5 linked regions of the Nothobranchius furzeri genome follow. The protein of the gene in region 1 interacts with the protein of each later gene in a biochemical or structural test. Links are inferred from orthologs where the notes say so. Each region holds a gene or a part of one and is shown on either strand. Other genes may lie near its edges. The genes, in order: cullin-1, cdc34b, dcun1d4, ube2m and cand1.

Evidence for each region.
Region 2: the proteins of cullin-1 (region 1) and cdc34b form a complex in vitro, tested with the Homo sapiens proteins (3 studies listed by BioGRID). The link is inferred for Nothobranchius furzeri from reciprocal best matches to the Homo sapiens genes CUL1 and CDC34.
Region 3: the proteins of cullin-1 (region 1) and dcun1d4 are reported together in a solved structure, tested with the Homo sapiens proteins (2 studies listed by BioGRID, with this or other methods). The link is inferred for Nothobranchius furzeri from reciprocal best matches to the Homo sapiens genes CUL1 and DCUN1D4.
Region 4: of the proteins of cullin-1 (region 1) and ube2m, one has a biochemical effect on the other in vitro, tested with the Homo sapiens proteins (7 studies listed by BioGRID). The link is inferred for Nothobranchius furzeri from reciprocal best matches to the Homo sapiens genes CUL1 and UBE2M.
Region 5: the proteins of cullin-1 (region 1) and cand1 form a complex in vitro, tested with the Homo sapiens proteins (6 studies listed by BioGRID and IntAct). The link is inferred for Nothobranchius furzeri from reciprocal best matches to the Homo sapiens genes CUL1 and CAND1.

Annotation. Positions count from the first base shown.
Region 1 is NC_091747.1:63,530,922-63,534,989, forward strand, and holds the start of cullin-1, read left to right. Parts: upstream 1-1,254; 5' UTR 1,255-1,393; intron 1,394-4,068. UniProt on the Homo sapiens protein: Core component of multiple cullin-RING-based SCF (SKP1-CUL1-F-box protein) E3 ubiquitin-protein ligase complexes, which mediate the ubiquitination of proteins involved in cell cycle progression, signal transduction and transcription.
Region 2 is NC_091751.1:57,908,629-57,912,652, reverse strand, and holds the start of cdc34b (cell division cycle 34 homolog (S. cerevisiae) b), read right to left. Parts: upstream 2,817-4,024; coding exon 2,631-2,816; intron 2,547-2,630; coding exon 2,460-2,546; intron 2,369-2,459; coding exon 2,271-2,368; intron 694-2,270; coding exon 559-693; intron 446-558; coding exon 235-445; 3' UTR 1-234. Other genes in the region: splicing factor Cactin, read left to right, coding at 3,942-4,024. UniProt on the Homo sapiens protein: E2 ubiquitin-conjugating enzyme that accepts ubiquitin from an E1 ubiquitin-activating protein, and catalyzes its covalent attachment to other proteins by an E3 ubiquitin-protein ligase complex. In vitro catalyzes 'Lys-48'-linked polyubiquitination.
Region 3 is NC_091748.1:39,454,351-39,458,652, forward strand, and holds the start of dcun1d4 (DCN1-like protein 4), read left to right. Parts: upstream 1-1,485; 5' UTR 1,486-1,601; coding exon 1,602-1,620; intron 1,621-2,542; exon of another isoform or gene 2,543-2,561; intron 2,562-2,846; coding exon 2,847-2,917; intron 2,918-2,994; coding exon 2,995-3,034; intron 3,035-3,121; coding exon 3,122-3,209; intron 3,210-3,329; coding exon 3,330-3,418; intron 3,419-3,507; coding exon 3,508-3,578; intron 3,579-4,302. UniProt on the Homo sapiens protein: Contributes to the neddylation of all cullins by transferring NEDD8 from N-terminally acetylated NEDD8-conjugating E2s enzyme to different cullin C-terminal domain-RBX complexes which are necessary for the activation of cullin-RING E3 ubiquitin ligases (CRLs).
Region 4 is NC_091745.1:29,824,509-29,828,554, reverse strand, and holds the start of ube2m (NEDD8-conjugating enzyme Ubc12), read right to left. Parts: upstream 2,801-4,046; 5' UTR 2,586-2,800; coding exon 2,471-2,585; intron 208-2,470; coding exon 113-207; intron 1-112.
Region 5 is NC_091741.1:34,353,744-34,356,242, reverse strand, and holds part of cand1 (cullin-associated NEDD8-dissociated protein 1), read right to left. Parts: intron 2,446-2,499; coding exon 2,237-2,445; intron 2,166-2,236; coding exon 1,997-2,165; intron 1,908-1,996; coding exon 1,818-1,907; intron 1,739-1,817; coding exon 1,585-1,738; intron 1,514-1,584; coding exon 1,276-1,513; intron 517-1,275; coding exon 328-516; intron 235-327; coding exon 91-234; intron 4-90; coding exon 1-3. UniProt on the Homo sapiens protein: Key assembly factor of SCF (SKP1-CUL1-F-box protein) E3 ubiquitin ligase complexes that promotes the exchange of the substrate-recognition F-box subunit in SCF complexes, thereby playing a key role in the cellular repertoire of SCF complexes.

The sequences.
Region 1 (4,068 bases):
TTACTGAAATATTACATTTTAGCTCCATCTCTATGAAACTGAGTAGGAGCCATTTTCGTGTTTGATGATCGGTTTGAATCAGGTTAGAATCCGCTGTTCTGATGCAGTTCCCTGATCCACCAGCAGATGGCCCTCTGCTGGTGGAATAGAGAAACCACTGGTGGAGAACATTTGGTTCTGTGTGTGCGCGCGTGATCATTCTGATTATTTTAATGTTACTGCTCGGGTATTTTGTCTCGCGTATATAAAAACAAGTTAAAATAAACTGATGAAATGTCAGAGTCGTGCTTCTCTGGCATAAATAATTCAAATATCGCCTCAAAGGACTGAACTGCGCATGCCCCACAGGTATCACCCGCAACCATAATTGTAGTTTTCAACAGTAGACCTTTCTGCGGGATGCAGATGATGCATTCAGTGAAAGATTTTGAGCTGCGAAATCATAAAGATGCGCTTGCCCGCTGCGTTGGCCTGTTTGAATTCATTAAAATGTTTAAAAAGAAGAAATTTAACCCGTTTTAATTCGTAAAATCAAATTGTTCTCCAAATTGGGCAATCTGTTGTCTCTAACCTACAAAATGAATGGGTTCCTTTTATTTTGAAAGACAACTAAAATTGATGTTTTTTGGTGGTGGTTTGTGTGTGTGTGTGTGTGTGTGTGTGTGTGTGTGTGTGTGTGTGTATATACTTGTCTTTATAGGTTTAAGTGGACAAATTTGAACTATAACCTGTACTGTGTAGACATTTTTACATTGTGGGGATTTTTTGCTGGTCCACACAATGTGGAGCACCCTAAAACTTGTTTTTAGAGGTATGGCATTAGTTAGGGATAGGGTATGGGTAGGCATAGTGGAGTAACTAACATGGAGCAGGGTGTCAATGAAGGGCCACACAAACATAAAAACAAGCGTGTGTGCGTGCGCGTGCGTGCGTGAGTGTGTTTGTAAAACATCAAACCAGTAGAGCTCGCCTTTATTTGTCACTTGATTATTTTCTTGTGCAATTAATAATATTAATAAAACATTATTAAATAGGTTTCGGTTTCTTTCTTTTTCAGAGTAATTCAGCAAGTAAAGTAAAATATAGATATTAAGAAAGTAAAATAAGATATAGAATAATAGTGTTAATGAAAGAGAATGTTGACACAATTATTTTGGGCATACTGTAATGTGTCATTCTAAGCGTATTCGTGAGATTTCATCACGCAAGCTGATTTTCCGACGGACCCTGAACGCATCCTTGTTCTGATCTTTGTGAGGAGCAGCGAAACGATCGCAGTTAGCCACGGCCAGCAGGAGCTCCGTTCGGCGGAACACAGCGGAGGATACCGAGCCTGGACGCGATTAAAACACCTTTCCAGCGATTACACGATCCCCACAACGAACTAAGAATGGTAAGAAGACGTTTAAGGGCTGCGATTGTTCGCTGGGTGGATCTTTTGTACGGAGCTTAGCTGGAGGTCTAGCTGGCTAATGCTAAACGGCTAGCGAACTGTTTTCCTGACTCATTATCGAACAGAAGCCATTTTACAGCAGGCAGCTAGAGAGTCCTGGGCGCTGCTGTTGGCTCGGCGGCGACGGTGCCGGTCTTTAATAATGCTCCCGGGTACTAACGCTTTACCTTAACCAGTTTTGGGACGGAAACAAACGCTGTAGTTGGATTAAAAGCTCGTCCACCCAACGGCCAGGCAGCTGTGCTAGGTGGCTATCTGAAAAAGCTAAGACTTCGCAGTTGCGTAGCAGCGTCGAACGCCAGCCTGGTGAGATGAAATCCCAACAATAGTCTCATAAAACCTAAAACTTAATGTTGGTTTGAGCTTCATGTGACAAAAGAGTGTCAGGGAAGTAGATTTAATCCGAAGAGAAGCCCTGGCCCTCTGGCTACAAGAGACTGGATGTTTCTGGAGAACCTGGAAAATCTTAAATCCCACATTTTCTATCCCGGAGAGCAGAGGAGGCTTGGAATGATGATTTGGTTTATTATTTTTGTTCCACAAATGATCGCTGCTCTTACACGTTACACCAAAAAATACAACCTAGAGATCAATCTGACTCGAACACAATCTTTCCAATAGTTCTTAATAATCTGGTGGATTTTTCTGTGTAGTCTATAAACGAAGAACTATCCATGGGTTATATTTGTTTTTATTTAAATGTTGTGGAGTTTCTGATGAAGAGTCAGCGATCACACAAGATGCGTCAAAATACAAATAAACAAAACAAGGAAATGGCTTTAAAATAAGTGGTTATCAGTATTTGTGATTGGTTCGTTTTTCCTTCAAAGTAAAAGCTTGGTTTTCTGTCACCTTTCATATCTGTTTAAAATGAGAAAAAATCAGAATTTATTTATTTGTTAAGGTTTGTTAAGTGATTAGATGTAACCAGTAACAGCAAGACAACCAAGGCACAGATTAAACCACCACACCTGTGTTTTTGAGAGATTATTTCATCGGAATAATCCAGAACTTGTCTTTGATGTTCAGCCGCCACAATAAGAAATTTTTATTTATTTCTCTTAGATTTAAAACTGCAGTTTAAACTAGTTTCCCTAATCCCACTGTTCCCAGCAGGAATTCTGTGCCAGGAACCCCTGGTTAGTTTTGTTGACAGCAGGGACTTTGGATAAAAACACCTTCTGTACTGACGCCACAGCTTTCATACTAAAGTGGACTAAACTTTACTTATACAGAAGAACAACCTTTATTCATAAAGATCCGCCCACTTTAATAATGATGATGATAGCTGATAAACATTTAATAAATAGGAGGTGAGGCATAGATTAACTTTTATTCTCTAAGGAGCTTTAATCCTTGTTTTTATTTAATTTAATGATCATTTAAGGTTTTACATTCAGTCCAGTTTGGTTCCGGATCTGGTCTCAGATGGTTCCTACAGACACACAAGCTGGTTGAGGTTCTTCTAATCCCAGGATTATAATCTGTGTTAATGAAAAACTGGTAAACACTTTAAACTGAGTTCCTGGAGAGAACATTAGGTCTTCTGCAGAGACCTGGATTGGGGCAGATCTGGACCAGGGTCTGGGACGGACTACTATGTGTGTGTGAGCTTTAATCTCACTCAATGCACCAGAGAGGAGAGAATCAGATCAGATCCGTTCGGACCAGAACCTCTGGCCATAAGAACAGCTTCTTCCCGTCTGCTGTTGGACTCGTGAACGACAATCCTAGGGTTACCCACTCCCGTGGTGTGGTTCCAGTCACCTGACATGATGTTGTTTGTACCTGAGCTGATCTGCTCTGATTAGTACCTACACAGTAGTAGGGCTGTCACGGTAACCGCAAAAATGAAATATCGCGATATGAAGAAGCCCACCGCGCTGCATCATGGGCCACCGCGATTACTGAACTTGGTTCAACTCAATGATGCATGTTGAGAAGGATGGCTGCACTGGTATCAAAGCAAAACGTTACTTCGCTCCTTTGGGAGCACTTTGGTTTTCAGTACGTCAGCTGCTGCGCAGCCAGAGTCCTTGGCCGAGACAGAGCTGCCACCAGCGGCAAAAATAAATAAATAAATAAACTAGGGCTGCAACAAACGATTATTTGGATAATCGATTAATCGGATGGGGTCTCGACACGATTAATCGGATTACATGGGGAAATTTTTAAAAACTGCTAGGGAAACGTTATTTCTCTCCTTCCTTCACTTTATTTAACACAACATTATTAGAAAACAGTTCAATAGCAGAAAAATAACATGCCATCACCTAAATTGTCTTATAAGGTGTATAGACAGAGACCCTAAGCTACATCTATCTGTGACCTAAAATGCTTGGTCCAAGTTAAACAGCTTAAGGGCAATTCTCATCTGTTTTGTTTGATCTCATCTGTTGACATTTATTTTAAATGTAATTAAACATAGGCTGTGAATTTATCAAAATTGATCACTATTTCCAAAAATGACTGAAAAAATACCAAATAAAACAAAAGTAAATGAATGCCATCCTACTTGTGATGATGCCCTGGGCAACTGCCATAAAGTCACATCAAGAAATGCTGCTGATCATTCCAATGATCCCAAATAGACTCACATTAGGCCACATGAAAGC
Region 2 (4,024 bases), on another chromosome or scaffold:
CGAAGTTGGAAAAAAAAATTGGTGGCTGTGCTGGTGCAAAAGTGACCACAGTCTGACCCTCTCGCAACGAGGCATCAGTTTTAACCTCTGAGGCTGAAGGAAAAAAGCTCTTGTACTGATTTAGAAGGAAGCTTCCAATCTCTCTTGGTTGCAAACCAAGAATATCTGGCAACCCAGGAAGAGTTAAAGGATGAGCATTCGTCAGCTAGGTTGGGTTTTCTGACAACAAGAATGTCACGACTCCTCATTGCCCGAGTCATCCTCGTCATAGCAACAGTCGCCGTCTCCCCCCTCCACGTCATCGTCTTCATAGTAATAGTCATAGAAGAGGTCAGAGCCTTCGTCTGGCGGCGGGGCGCGTGTACGAACGCAGTATTCAGCTAGCGTGGTGGGCACCTTCACGCCATCTCGCTCTGCTTCTGCCTTTGTGGCCAGCACCTGTTTCCTGAAGGGATTTGTTTTATGAAGACTGAATTACTTTTGTGTGGATGGTGTGGCTTTGAAAATCTTTTAGAAATATTTGAGGTTTGTCTTAAATAACATTACACTAATGTTTACCTGATGATCTCTACATATTCCCGGTCCTTGCCTTTGCTGTCTCTCCATTTCCGGTACATGACAGAGGCGTCCACGTTGGCAGGGGAGAAGGTGTTGGGTTCATTTAGCAGCGAGATCACGCTCAGCAAAATGGTCCTAGAAGCAAAAAACAAAGGCAACTTAGTATAGAACCATAAGAAAACGACTTTAGGTGAATTAAAAAGTTTTAAACACATAAAAAATATTTTAATGTCACAAGCCTAAATTACTTATTTCATCTACTATTTTATTAGAATAAACAATGAAGCACATATTACATTAGGAACTTAAAGCTAATTGATAAAACATGTATTAAAAAAACCTGTCAGACCCATGTGCTACCACCCTACCAGAATCAGAATCAGAATAGGTTTATTGCCATTTTCAGTGAACAAACAATTCACAAACTAGGAACTTGCTTCGGCACTAATGTGCTACATATAACATGAATAATAAGATTAAAAATAGAATAAAATAGAATAAAATATAATAATTAAAAAAACTAGAATAAAACTTTCAGCTAAAATGGCAGGTAATGGTAACATGGCCGATAACGTGACGTTGTGTCGAGTACAGAAGACCAGCATGGTTGTGTGTTTATAATCTATTCACAAGTCTAACGGCAGATGGAAAGAAGCTGTTCTTATGGCAGGAGGTTCTGGTCCGGATGGACCGTAACCTCCTGCCTGAGGGAAGCGGCTCAAAAAGTCTGTGACCCGGGTGCGAAGGGTCAGCTGTTATCCGGCCTGCACGCCCCCGAGTTCTGGAGACGTACAGGTCCTGGAGAGATGGAGGGCTGCAGCCAATCACCTTCTCAGCAGAGCGCACAATGCGCACTGACAAGCCTTTACATTACATTTATAAAACGTAGCATTGTGAGTAAGGTTTTAGTGAGTCGTTATGGGAAACAGAAAGAAGCTGCTTCTGTTTGTGGCCAAAGGAACAGCCTTTGTGACAGACTTCCTGATCTACAGATCTAATGTGTCTGCAGCAAAAATGCAAATGAGGAAATTAGGTTAGGTTAACGGTATACCACCTGCAACAACAAAAACATAAGAGCTGCACTGCATCAAGTGACCGAAACCACCAGAGCTTACATCTTTGTAACACTGCTGAAGTTGTGTGATTTCGACTACTACAGATCACAGGTTTAATATCACTTGTGAGTGTGACATCGTTGTGGTGGCTTTTACATAGATAGTTTCTTGTTGAATAGAAATCTGGCTCTCAGTTACAGAAAAAGATCAAAGATACATTTTTTTGTGCACAGATTGCATAATGTGAGCCTGACAAATAACCTCAGAAGGAAGTTTATAATAAATAAAGATGCATTTTCTCCCTCTTCTGCAGCAAAATGCTGTCAAACTCATGCGATACACTTATTGTGAGTCACAATGAATTAAGGTACTCAAAGTATGTTTTTCATAGAAATAAACCAACAAAATCTTAGTTTGCATAGTATGATATTATCCAAAGATCAATTTAATTTTGTTTGTAAATAAGAGGAAGATGCAGATCTAGCTTTACTGCTGGCTGCTGCAGCCGGTGAAGAAGATGCTGCTGATAATGAATGTCATAAGATAAGAGTCTGCGCTGGGTGAACCATTGAAGTGATTGCAAAGTGGACAAAGATGGAAGGAGACCAGAAAGGAGAAACGTATAGAGAGAATATGATTAGAAAGAGAAATGCTAACCGAACATTCTGGGTTGGATTCCATCTCTCTGATGGGAGCTCTCCGCTCTGCGGGTCATCCACTGGAGGGTGCAGTATAGAAATACACACATCTCCATTCTACAAGAGGGGAAACAAATACATTCCATCATCAGATGCATTCATTCAAATTAAATACACTGTTATGAGTACACACACGTCAATATTTAACCTCATAGATGTTGGGATGCCACATTTTGGTTAGGAAGCGGAAAGCAGGAGGGGAGTAAGGATAATCTGTAGGAAACTTGATCCTTGCCTAGGGGGGAAAATGGGGACATCTTGTTATTTTTTAAACTACGGTCATTTCTTATATGTCATCTGATTTTAATTACAACCTTACCTTGAAATATCCCCCTTCATAATGAGTGTTTGGTGGACCAAAAATGGCGACTTCCCAGTTGTATAAATCAGCCTCGTCCACCAGAGTGATTTTAAATCCCTCCACAGGCTCTTCCTGGAGGCTCTTCATTTCCAACATGAGAGCTTTCTGCGAACTAGCTACATGAGAAGGGTCGTGTTGCGCCATAATGATTTATGAAGCTTTCAGGATTATCTGGAGGCGACAGCTTTTGTTTACACGGCTAAGCTAGCCAAGCCAGCAAACAGCACAACTTCTCCTTTTTCGATGTTCGGAGGCAAAGAAAACAGGCCGACCGCGCGTAAAAGCAAAACAAAGACTGCGGTTGGTCTGTTCCCAAATTAAACGTTATTAATGTCAAAACTCAGTAATGTTATAAACGAGAAACACATTGTGTCTGAGAGGCTCAACAGCTTTGGCTGATTTACCTGGCAGAGCAGCAGCTGATATAAGCCTTAAATCTACTGTTAGCTAAGGAAAGCTAACAAGCTCCGTCTAATTGACCAGCTGGAGCGACGTAATTACCGCAAAAACACAAAATAACTACATAAAATGGCAATTTGAAAAGACAAACGCAAAAAGTCATGTGACACTACGCCAAACTATACCTCCAGTAACCATAATTGTTTAGCCCTCATAGAAAGCTGCGAAAGGAAATGTGTTGCTGAAAGAGTCCCCTGGTAAAAACAGGTAATGGCGCCCTGTTGTTGGCTGGGACTGGTAGTCTTTCATTCCGCGTTTGTTAGATTAAAAAAACGTGAAACCAAAATAACTGAAAACCCTGGTATAATATAATTCCTGTTCTTTTTATTTATGATGTTTTTATTTTTATTTTAAATGCCCAAAAAGAAAAATAAGTTTGTTTGTGCTTGCATTTTCCTGTTAAACTGTTTAAATACGGTAGCGGTTACTATGGACGAAATATCTATGACATCAATAATAGTATTTTATCACCGACATAACTAAATTGTAAGAAAAACAATCCTGCGTTCATTTGTGGCTAATTTGTAGTTTATTAAGTGGCTGTGACGTTTTAATCTGCGCCAGTGCTCAGGAAAGCCCATTTAGGCTAGCTTTTCTTTGCCTTACTAAATACATTTGGATTTTTTATAAAAGAAATCTGACACGTAATTTTTTCTGTCATAGCACACGTTAGAGTATGCGAACATTAAACATAGACATATGTTTTTATTAGTGCGATTGTAAACGTTATTATAATCAACAGTGTTTCGTCAATGCCTCCTATTTACGCGACAGACTGCATTTAGGGCCCCGAAAAGAAGAAAGTTCGTGATGGGTTCGAAAACACGGCGTAGGTCTCGTTCCAGGTCCATAAGTCGGGGCAGAGATCACCGAAACAAGTCCAGAGTAAACAG
Region 3 (4,302 bases), on another chromosome or scaffold:
CCAGCAGGCAAGGTGGGTTAAGTGTCTTGCCCAAGGAGACAACAGCAGCATTCTCTGTCCGGAGCCGGGATCGAATCTGCAGCCTTCCGATTATGTTTATGTTTATGTATTTAGCAGACGCTTTTGTCCAAAGCGACATACAAGTGATAATCGGCATTTTGCCCTTGAGGCTAACAATAACAATAACAACAACAACATTAACATCAGTCATGGAGAGGAGGGAACAAGTAGTGGACAGTAGAGAGGGGGGACGGGTGCAGGCAAGGTGCTAGTTAAGAAGATGCTCTCTGAAGAGCAGGGTCTTCAGGAGTTTACTGGACAACCCGCTCTACCTGATGAGCTACTGCTGCACCAAGCTTAGACATCTCATGGGGCTTAAAGGAGATGTACAGTTGGATGTCATCTGTGTAAAGATGGTAGGAGATTCCTTTGAAGAAGCTCAGTATGTGCTGAAGAGGAAGCAGACAGAGGAGGAACAGTAGGGGCCCCAGCACAGAACCTTGTGGTACACCGTGTGTGGAGAAGGTGGTGGAGGACCTAAACTTGGAGATAGCCACAAAGAAGGAATAGACAAATATGAGGAGAACCACTCCAGAGCACATCCTGATAGACCAGTCTCTCAGCCTATTCAGTACCTGGTGATGGTCAACAGTGTCAAAGACTGGAGTCAGGCCCAGCAGGTCATGTCTATTTGCTTTAATTAAATCCAGGTGGTGACTTTTCTTTGAACAGGCAGTGTGTTACTCAGCATAAATTACAAACAAGTCACTTTAATAGCAAGATGTTAATTAAAAGACAAAACAAAATAGAAACACTAGTAATTTTAGAGAAACTACTTTTTGGTTGAGAAAGCTGCTCATATTTTCTCTGTATTAGACCAGTTTTTATGATCTTCCATGTGGTAATAAAACATATCAGCTGCTAATAACAACAATACAATCGCCTTGAACAAACAGTGACTACCTAACCCATCTTACCATGAAGATCCAAAGGTGAACACACCATTAACGTACAGGTGTTGGGCTTGATCACGCTGAAAACAGATTAAAACTCATTTCTTCTCAGCCTTTGTGCTTGCCGACATAGGCCAAAAAAATTGTTGATTTAAATATTTCAAAATGTCATATTATCTGTTTTAGTGATCCAATATAATTTATTTGCATGTGTGCTCACTTTGTTTGAATAAGGAAAGTAAGTGTGAACCTAGTGGGAAAACAAAACAAAACTACGAATTACTAATTATTTTACTAACCATAACACTTATCAACCTAACCCATATAAAACAGTGAACACCTGAACGACCAATCAGGTCTCATCGTGGGCCGGCTTTAGGCTTGCACGAGGAAATTCTAGTGATTGACGTACACGTAGCACGGCCCATTGGAGGAGCTCTGACCAATCCGATTAGTAAATAGGCGTTCTCCTGTCTGTTTTTCCCGCCCCTTCCAGAAAGGACATATTTATTAGCCAATAGAAAGCGAGCAAGGGCAGAGACTTCAAGCCGAATTTCAGTTACTGCGTACGGGCGTCCTTTACGCTAACAAGGCCCGCCTATTGGCCGGTCTACGGACTTCCCACAGACAGTTGTATGTTTCATAAAAATGCACTCTGATGCGGCAAGTAAGTGAGAACGTTTCTGCATCAAATTGCGACCTTTCTCGTTGTTGGTGCGCGTATCAGACAGAAAAAACGGACGCGTTGTGTTTCTACATCCGCCTTTGTCCCGTGTGTCTGTCAGGTTTCATGGGAACGCATGAATCCTGTCTTATTTGCTAGTCTCTTTGTATTTGCCAGTGCTGTCTGGGTCGACAACAAAGGAAGGATGGCTACAGTAATTATAGCTATTTTCAGTTGTAAACGTTTGCTGAGACACGATAAGTTTATTTCTGGTAATTATTTTCGGGTTGTGCTGCTGTTTTAGGTTAAATTCCACCGACGCTGCTTAAGTTCAGAGGATTTTCGATTGCAGTCGGTGCGTTGTGGCGTTCCTATTCCTCGTTACTCGTGGCGCACATAATATTTAAACTCAAACTTGTAATTCGGCGTGATTCGGCCAATTTTCGGGTCAGCTGCGGACTGTAAGAGAGAAGGAAAATTGTGACGCAGTTGTGTAAAACATCTTTCGTTGCTTGCTGCAACAGTGCTAGCAATTTTTTCATAGCCCACGTTAGCTTCTGTAAAACGTCACCACAGTGCTTTCCTGTCAGTGACCATGTCGCATTACATTTATTAATCAATGTAAAATGTATTCAGTCGGAAAAGGTACATGTTGGGGGGAGATGAGTCTGAAAGAAAGAGTTGTTTTGTAGAGACGTGGGTATTGTAGTTTATTAACCCAAGCAAAGCTTAGCTTCTAACGACCACTATAAAGGAAAAGAACTACAACATCCAGACGCCCGACTCTCTGGATACTTTGTAAACTCTGCAAGTTGCTCGTCTACTGCTATTTTTGGTATGCAGCTAGTGCTATCCGTTCGTTTATCTCTGCCGTTTCTCTGAGTTTTGCCTCTAGTGATAATTCTGTACTAAACAGCAACACACACCCGGCTTTTACTCACAAGGTAGCCGCCATAATCGAATATATTAGCGTTTTAGTCCTGTCCTTTCAGTAGCACAGGGAGTCAATCGTGAGGGTCTTTTTCTGCCATTTTAAAGCCCTAAACACATCATATGTGTGGGTTAAATGGTAATGTTGTGTTCATAGGCAACGTAGGATTCAAGTCTCCATTATTAGCGTTGTTGACGTCACCTCTTCATAACCTTACATGATTAGGTCGAGTATTAAGTTATAAATGAAGCCTTATTTGGATTTTTCTAAAATGTCATTTAAATGTTTTTGTGGATAGATTTTCAGCTGAATTCTCATTTGACTACACTGGCCAGCATCCACAAGATTCACCACACCTTACACAGGCTGGTAACTATCTAACAGAAGGCTGATTATTTGTGTGAAGTGAATGTTTCTTTTTTTATTCACATGCTTTTATTTGTTAGAATCTGGCTGAAGACGTTGGACAGGATAGCCACCCGTCAGGTAAAATCCTTACGTGTGTTTTCTGTTCTTCATGCAGTTTGCACGCTAGTTCTGCTGATACTGATCTGCTGTGAATTATTTTGACAGCTTGCTACTCAAGAGCCATGCCACCTAGGAAAAAGAGGAGACCTTCTGCTGGAGATGACATGTCAGCCAAGAAAAGTCGCCAAGAGAGGTGACAGGAGGGTTTTCAGGAAACTTGATTGTTGTGGCTTATTAAAATAAACATGGACACAAATATGCTTCTGTAGTTTTGCTGCTTAGCTCACGGCTGACATCGTCTCATTATCTACAGTGTTTTCAGAAAACATGAAACATCGCAAATCCGGGAGGAGGAGACGTTTTCTAGTAAAAGATGTTTGGAGTGGTTTTATGAATATGCAGGTGAGCAGTCATCACACATTTTGGTTTAGTCACTGATCTTTGTGTTTGTAGCTGAGTTAATGCTGTGTGATGCTGCTCGGCTCACCTAGGTTGTGACGATGTGGTGGGTCCAGAGGGCATAGAGAAGTTCTGTGAGGACATCGGAGTGGAGCCTGAAAACGTGAGCAGATTTTATTTAGACTTGTTCACTACTGGACAAGGTTTTGGTTTGGTTCCATTTGCATGATCTTAGTTTATTCTATTTCCTCCTTTGGCTGCCCATCACACTGTCTCAGTGACACTGAAACAGGAATTTTAGTCATAGCAACATACGGTCAGCATTTGCATACACATTAATGCTTTTACAATCTGAAATCTGTTGACATAACTCAACAAATTTGCATCCCTAAAACACAAATATACACAGATCTGATGTGCAGCGCAATCTGTTTTCACGTCCTAAAAGCAGGTAAAGAGAATCCGGTTAACTTGGCAACAGCTGCTGTTCTATGGTCCCCGACTCGTGGTTGTCTCATCATAGCTACCTCAGTGGGTTCTAGCAGGTCTCACGAAACCCACTGCAGGTATTCAACACACCCTAAAGGTCAAAAGTTGCTCCATTACACATCCCTGGCTACTTATGGCCATTCTAAAATATCACCACACCACTAGTGCTTGCTTACAGAGAGACTTTCAGGTCATCTGGCCCTCTTGATTACTGTGCCCGTCCCAGGAACCATGTCTGGTCAAACCTTTTTGCTGAACCCATTTTTTGCCTTTATTTTTTATTTTTGAAAGATGTATTACTTGTTGATTATGTTGTTTCTTCTTGGGGCCTTTAAAGGAATATTTTGACCATTTTGAATGTGTTTCTATATATAAATAACAGAGATGGGGAATTGAGG
Region 4 (4,046 bases), on another chromosome or scaffold:
TGACAACAAACCACAGACCTAATCTTTATCTCACACACACACACACGCACACACACACACACACACACACACACACACACACACACACACACACACACACACACACACACACCTCGTCTGGTGAGATGATGAGTCTGAAGTTGAGGAGGTCATCATCATCTGGAAAGCTGATCTCACACGTCTTTGGCAAATTCAACTCATTGATGTCTGAAACACAAACAGATCATTTTAATTATAATTAACTGGATCAGCACCAACAGAACACTTTGAACACAAAAACAGACCACATGCACGTGACTGGTTTGGACAGCCGTTTATTTAACATGATATCTTAAAAACCAGAGTTCCAACTTCAGAGACAACACAGGAATTACAGGGTGACCTAAACTTGTGTGTTTTTGGGCATTACCAAGTCAGACGTCTGAGAGGGCAGCTGAAGAACATGGCTGAACTCCAGAGACCTCTATGAACGTGTTGTGTAGAAATGACTGAGGTGTCAGTAAGATGATGTACAAAACAACTTTCGACTGATTAAACAAACAAGAATCTCTAGTTGATTTACATTCCAACCCTCACATATGGTCGTGGTAAAGAATGACAAAACAAGATCATAACAGGCTGCCAAAATGAAATTTACACAGTGAGGAGTTCAGACATTCAAGGAGGACTGAGTAGAACCGCTGCTTCTTCTCATCCAGAGATGCCAGCTGAGATAGCTCAGACTCGGGAATAGACATAACCATGTTGGACGATAGGCTGGCTCATTTAATACAAGGACTTTAGTTGAGTAGAATGTGGCAGCAGGAGGTTGACATCAGCAAATATCCAAACAATGCCTTGGGGTCCCATCAAAGGAGCTAATGATATAGGCTGGGATGGAGACAGTATGGGTAAATGCTTTAACTACTTCTATAGCCTGTTCCAATAAATAAATAAATAAATGCTCCACTTGCAAAAAGTGCCGCAAAGGGAGCATTTGATCATTCATAAGTGGTCAGCCTGTGGCCATAATGGGGTGCAATCATGTTTTTCACAAAAGATCACATGGTTGCTGTATAACAGGGGTGCTGGGTGATCTCTGTGTCATCATGGACATCCTTTTAACTTGGACATAACTTGTTTTTATCTCTTTTGAAGCCACAGTCCTTAAGTTTTTTTTGTGAGCCACCCCAAAAGGGGAACTGTCCTGTGATCAGATCTTCAATTCTAACAGCCAGGATCTTCTGGATATCTGCACCACGCCAGTTTGCCATCTCCGCTGACACTGTTTGCAAACACGACAGGGACTCCCCATGTTAACTTGCATTTGGAAAATTATTGCCAACCAGGGCTTAGTGGACATTTCATCCATGACCATGGCATCCCCCTCTGTTGCAAGAAGTCATGAACTTCATTCAAAAGTCCAATGTTGCAATAATAGTACAATCAGGTTTCACGGAACGAACTACGCAATATTCTCATCTCGTCAAGCCACCATGGTGCATTCCAAAGAACCACGTGGCGGCAGTATTACCCTGACGTGCTGCTCCAGTGTGTGTTTTGAACCCGGCTCATGCGTCTTTCTAAGCAACGCACTGTCCAGTAATATCACACCTTGGGTCTCTTCTTTGTTCTCCATTTTGCCTTTGCCATCTACTTTTAAACTCTTCAGGGACTTAGGGGTCTAGTTTCAAAAACTAGCCTTTCACAGTGTTTGTAAACAATGCCTCAGTTGCCATGCTACTGCATCATATAGGTGCCTGAAACCCTGAGGCCAGAACAGCACCCTCATAGGCGTGTATTTGAGTGCGTTATCAAAAGTGTAAGCAGTTTAACAGTCATAATGGACAGATGTTAACCCTACCTGCCAGTTTGGTGAGATGATTTCTTGTTGAGGAACCATTTCAATTTCTCACCACCTGACAGGACCAACTAGGTGTCTAACACCTGGGGGACAGGGGCACCTGCGGGTGTTTGACATGACGAGCTCAGTGTGAGCTGGTTTAAGGACAGGAACCAGGCAGGGGGGTGTTTCAGCTCCACTTTAAATGAACGACATACACTTTGACCTGGGCTATCTGACCACCAGTCAGTCACACCTGAAGTTTGTGACAGAGGGCTGACACAGCAAGTTAGCTTGTCCAAAGCTCCCACCAACGCGTAAAACCCGACTAGAAAACAGTGTTTGTGTGGGCTGTTAATGAGGTATGCGTAATAAACATGTGTCTTATATCCTAACGATTGTGTTCTGATAAGGTGGCCCCAAATCGTTACGGAGTTGGAGCGTCTCTGTTTTGTTTTCAAATACAGCAGCAGCAGCTAGCCGTTGTTAGCTTCTGAATAGCCTGCTACCAGTTAGCTGGCCTGAGTTCACGGCTACCGGGCACTAAACGGCTGTGTCCCCCGGTAGTTTGCCAGTAACCGGACAGTCGGGAAGCAGGAAAGACTGGCAGGGGTGCTGAGAGGGTGGTGAGGTGGGAAACCAGCCTACCTTTCTGTATTCGAAGCTGGGCCGCGCTGGCTTTTTTGCCCCCGGCTCCGGCTCTGTTTCCTCCAGCAGATTCCTCGTCTTTCTTCTGCTGCTTCAGGGAGAACAGCTTAATCATCTTCACTTGTTCGATAATCGGAGGCCTAAACTCTTGAGTCCCTTTAGTGTGCGAACTCCCCGTGTGTCCTGAGTGTTAACAGAGCCAAATGAGCCCGAACTGCACCGTAATGTGGATGGAGCCGGTGCGTCTCAACTAATCACACCGAGCTAACCTAGCTGTTAGCCCGCAGGAGAGGCCGGGTGGGGAGGAGGGTGCAGACGTCGCATGGATTGGTACGTCACTAATTGCGCCATATTGGAGAGGTAAACTGGTAAGGACTGTCACGTGACTAATAGGCAAGCCTGAGGCCAACCTTGATAGCAGAAGGGTCATAGTTAGAAAAGCCATAGTTATTATTGTTTTTAATATAATTTCGTTATTTAATATCTATAATTATTGCACACTTTAATTGAATTTATATTCAGGATCTATTTTTTTAACAAAATACATTAAGAAAAAACTACATATGCCAGTAGACTAGCCGTGATGTCATCACGCAAAAGGCGGGGCCAAGGTATATTGCCTGCCCATATTTTATTCACTAGGTTTATTTTATTTTATTCCTTACAGACCGGTGTAAAGATGCACACCGTAAGGTCACCTGCGTGATATGATGAATGCGCTGGTGAAAGACATGTCATGGTTGAGTGGCATTAATGATAATCCAGATCACGCACATCACGCAAACAACCGCTGCACAATAGACACGAGAACAAAAGCCGCGCGCTGCGTTTTGCTCATATTCATGTTAATGCGCGGGGACTAGTTCTTGCGGAGGGTTACACGTGCGCGTAGATGTTAGTGAGAACGAACCCTTTGCGTGTTGTTGTGTGCAGTTGTGTGTGTGTTTTTGTATGTGTTTGTGTTTTTGAAGCCTCGCGGGAGGAAGAGGAGCAGAACGTGCTGAGGGGAGAGTGAGGCAGTCTCACACTGCAGACAGAGGGACAGAGAGGGGAGTGAATGGGCACGACTCAGTCAGCATCACTGTGCCCTTCACTGTATCCTAATCGATCGGTTCGGCTATCGAGACATTTCGACCCTGCACGGGTCCGTTAAGGCTGGCCCGGCCTGGGAGCTCGCCGGAGCAATGGGACGCGAATGAAGCAGCCCGAAGCGAACAGCAGCAGCCCGGCGGAGGAACAAACAAGGAAGCGCTTAGCTGAAGCTAACGGCTCGCTAATATTGATTCTGATGAGTGAACGAGGACCATGCGAGCTGAAAGGAAGAGGTGAGAGGGCGCTGTGTGTGTGCGTGCGTGCGTGTGCGTGCGTTTTCAGCTCAGTCAGTGTAATTCCTCTCCACCTGCCTAATTTACTGTTCATTATCACTGGATACTAAAAGAGGAAGCAACCGCAGGGGGCGGACAGTCTACTAGCCTGCTAACACATTAGCACGGTTGTCATTAGCTTTTCCGCCAGGTGTGGGGGCGACGGGAGGGATGTTATGTCATTACAGGTGCGTGATTGGTTAATTATCACA
Region 5 (2,499 bases), on another chromosome or scaffold:
CACCTGAAACACAAGCCCAAAGGCGCTGTCAACGACTCCAAACTGGAAAAGCAACTCGGGGCTTAGATGTGAAGGCAAGTGTGGGGCTACCTCTTCACTGGAGGAGGAGAAAGCATCCAGGATGACGGTCTTGAGCTCAGGCTGGCTGCTCAGGTCCACGTAGTGTCCCACCTCGCCCAGTGAGAGGAGAGCGAGAAGTCTGATGGAGTCTGTGGAGCGGCTGTTCTTCACATCCTGTCAAGAAGAGGAAACTATTTTATATTTCATCCTTGATGCCGTCGTTCTTTAGAGCTCTGGTCTTTAGTGGTTTGGGATCAGGTGACTCACCTGGATGAACTGTCCCACCACAGCAGGACCCTCGGTGGGACAGGCTCTGGTCAGAGCTGCGACACATTTAGCAATGGAGCAGTAAGCCTGTTTGTGAGGCAGAGCGGCGCTTTGGGAGTAAACCGGGCCCGTCAGCATCCTCAGCAGGTCCATGTAGCCCAAACCGGGAGTGTCTGTAGCCACCAGAGCCTGAACAGGAGGAGGCAACACCAGATCAGCCAGCGTGCTGTCATCGTTTTACACAACCACCAGATTTGTTGTCGTTTCAGAAAAAAAGACCGACTGAACCCAAAAGCAGAAAACAATGGGCTGCCCAGGATGTACGGTGAGCAGAGAGCTGCTGGGTTTTATTCGTCTTCAGTTCTGTATCATCTGCTTAGAACAAAAAGGACCAGGATCTCATCCCTGTGGTACACCATCACCCAGTTTTGATTAAGGTCCATGAAAGTGGTGAATTAAATTCAGGGTTAAATGTAGTTTTAGGTCAGGTTCAGTTCCTGACAAAACTGGTTCTAAAGGCTGTAAAGGTTCTGGGTCTAGGCCAGCAGAACACCAAACCCAGTAGGACCCAGTCCACTGGTGTTTCATTTCTTCAGTCACGCCAGGCTTAAAGCAAAGGTGGAACGTCACGTTTGGGCCCCACATGAACGGTTAGGGCGCTGCAACTCCTCACCTTAGAGTTCCACCTTCACAGAAACTCAAATATTTACTGAACTCCGTATTCTGGTGCTGTTCATCTATCACACAGTTTACCTGAAACACGATAAAACTGAACTATCAGGGTGTCTCCACCCACAGTTACAGGTAAACACACGGCAAGTCCGCCACGGGTCGTTACTCCCGTCAGTGAATTACGTCGGGACCTGAGCCGATATTGGATCAGATCAGCTCCATCACAGGTGTTTGGACCCCCGAACTGAGTCCAGTCCGAGTGTGGTGGGGCGGTACCTGGTAGAACTCCAGCATGGCGGCGAGCGCTCCTCCCTGCAGCAGCGGGGATCGAACCAGCGCGATGAGCTGCTGAAGGATGTTCCCTCCGCTCAGCTGGCCCAGCGAGGACGGGTGCGTCACCGCCAGCGTGGACAGGAAGCACAGCGCCATCTGAGACACGTGCATGTCGCTCTCTGAGATCAGAGGCGGCAGCTCAGCCAGGACGGCGTCCACCATGACAGGCGTCACTGCAGAGCTGAGGACCACAGATGAAGAGTGAGAGGGCAGAGCTGCCAGGTGGGCGGGGCTAACCGGTGTGATGGTTACCTGTAGTTTCTCAGCAGGATATCCAGAGCCGCCAGCGTGCAGAGCTTCAGAGCTCGTTGGTTCTTTCTGAGAAAGGAGGCGAGGATGGGAACGGCGTCGGGAAGAACTGGCCTGAGATCGATTTTTAACGGAGAGCCGGCGATCAGCGTCAGCGCTGCAAAGATCCAGACTGAACTTCATCACCAGCTCATCACAGTCTTACTCAAGAGGACAATGTGGGGGGCGGGGCTTACCTTTTACCGTAGTCAGCCGTGTGATCTCATTTTTGAGGCGTTCCAAAAAGATCAGCAGCGTTCCTGGAAGCTCGTTGGGCAGGCGGTCGCCTACATAACAAAATCCATCGGAAAGTTCAAACCCAACTCGAGTCTGACGGCAGGGGACATCACATCTAGGACATGTAGGTGGTGGTTACCTAGGTTGCAGATTATCTGTCCCATACAGGAAATTGCTCGCTCTTTGACCTCCTGGTCGATGTCGGCGGCCTTCAGGCGTCTGATCGTGCAGGTGAAGAGGTCATTGATGTAAGGGGAGGGGTCAAAGCTGTCTGAGCCCTCCGACTGGTTATCCAGAGGTCGGATCACCTGGAAGAGACCCGACAAACAAATAAGCATCAGCTGACAACCAGAGTGAGGGTTGCAGGTTCGACTCCCACCTTGACAAGCTGCTGGGTAACAAGCAGAGCCTCTGAGGTGATCTTGTAGAAGGGGTCTCCCATGCACGCCACCACGGGCGGGACAAGGGCGGGGACGTGGGCGTGGAAGGCATGGGCGGGGTGTGTGACCATGATGACGTGGAGGCAGGACAAGGCGTCGATTTTCAGGTTGGAGCTGCTGGACTTATCGTTCAGAGAGAAGATGATGCCTGAAACCAAACGTGATCCTTGATGAGGTCATCGACGACAACCCAGTAACCCGA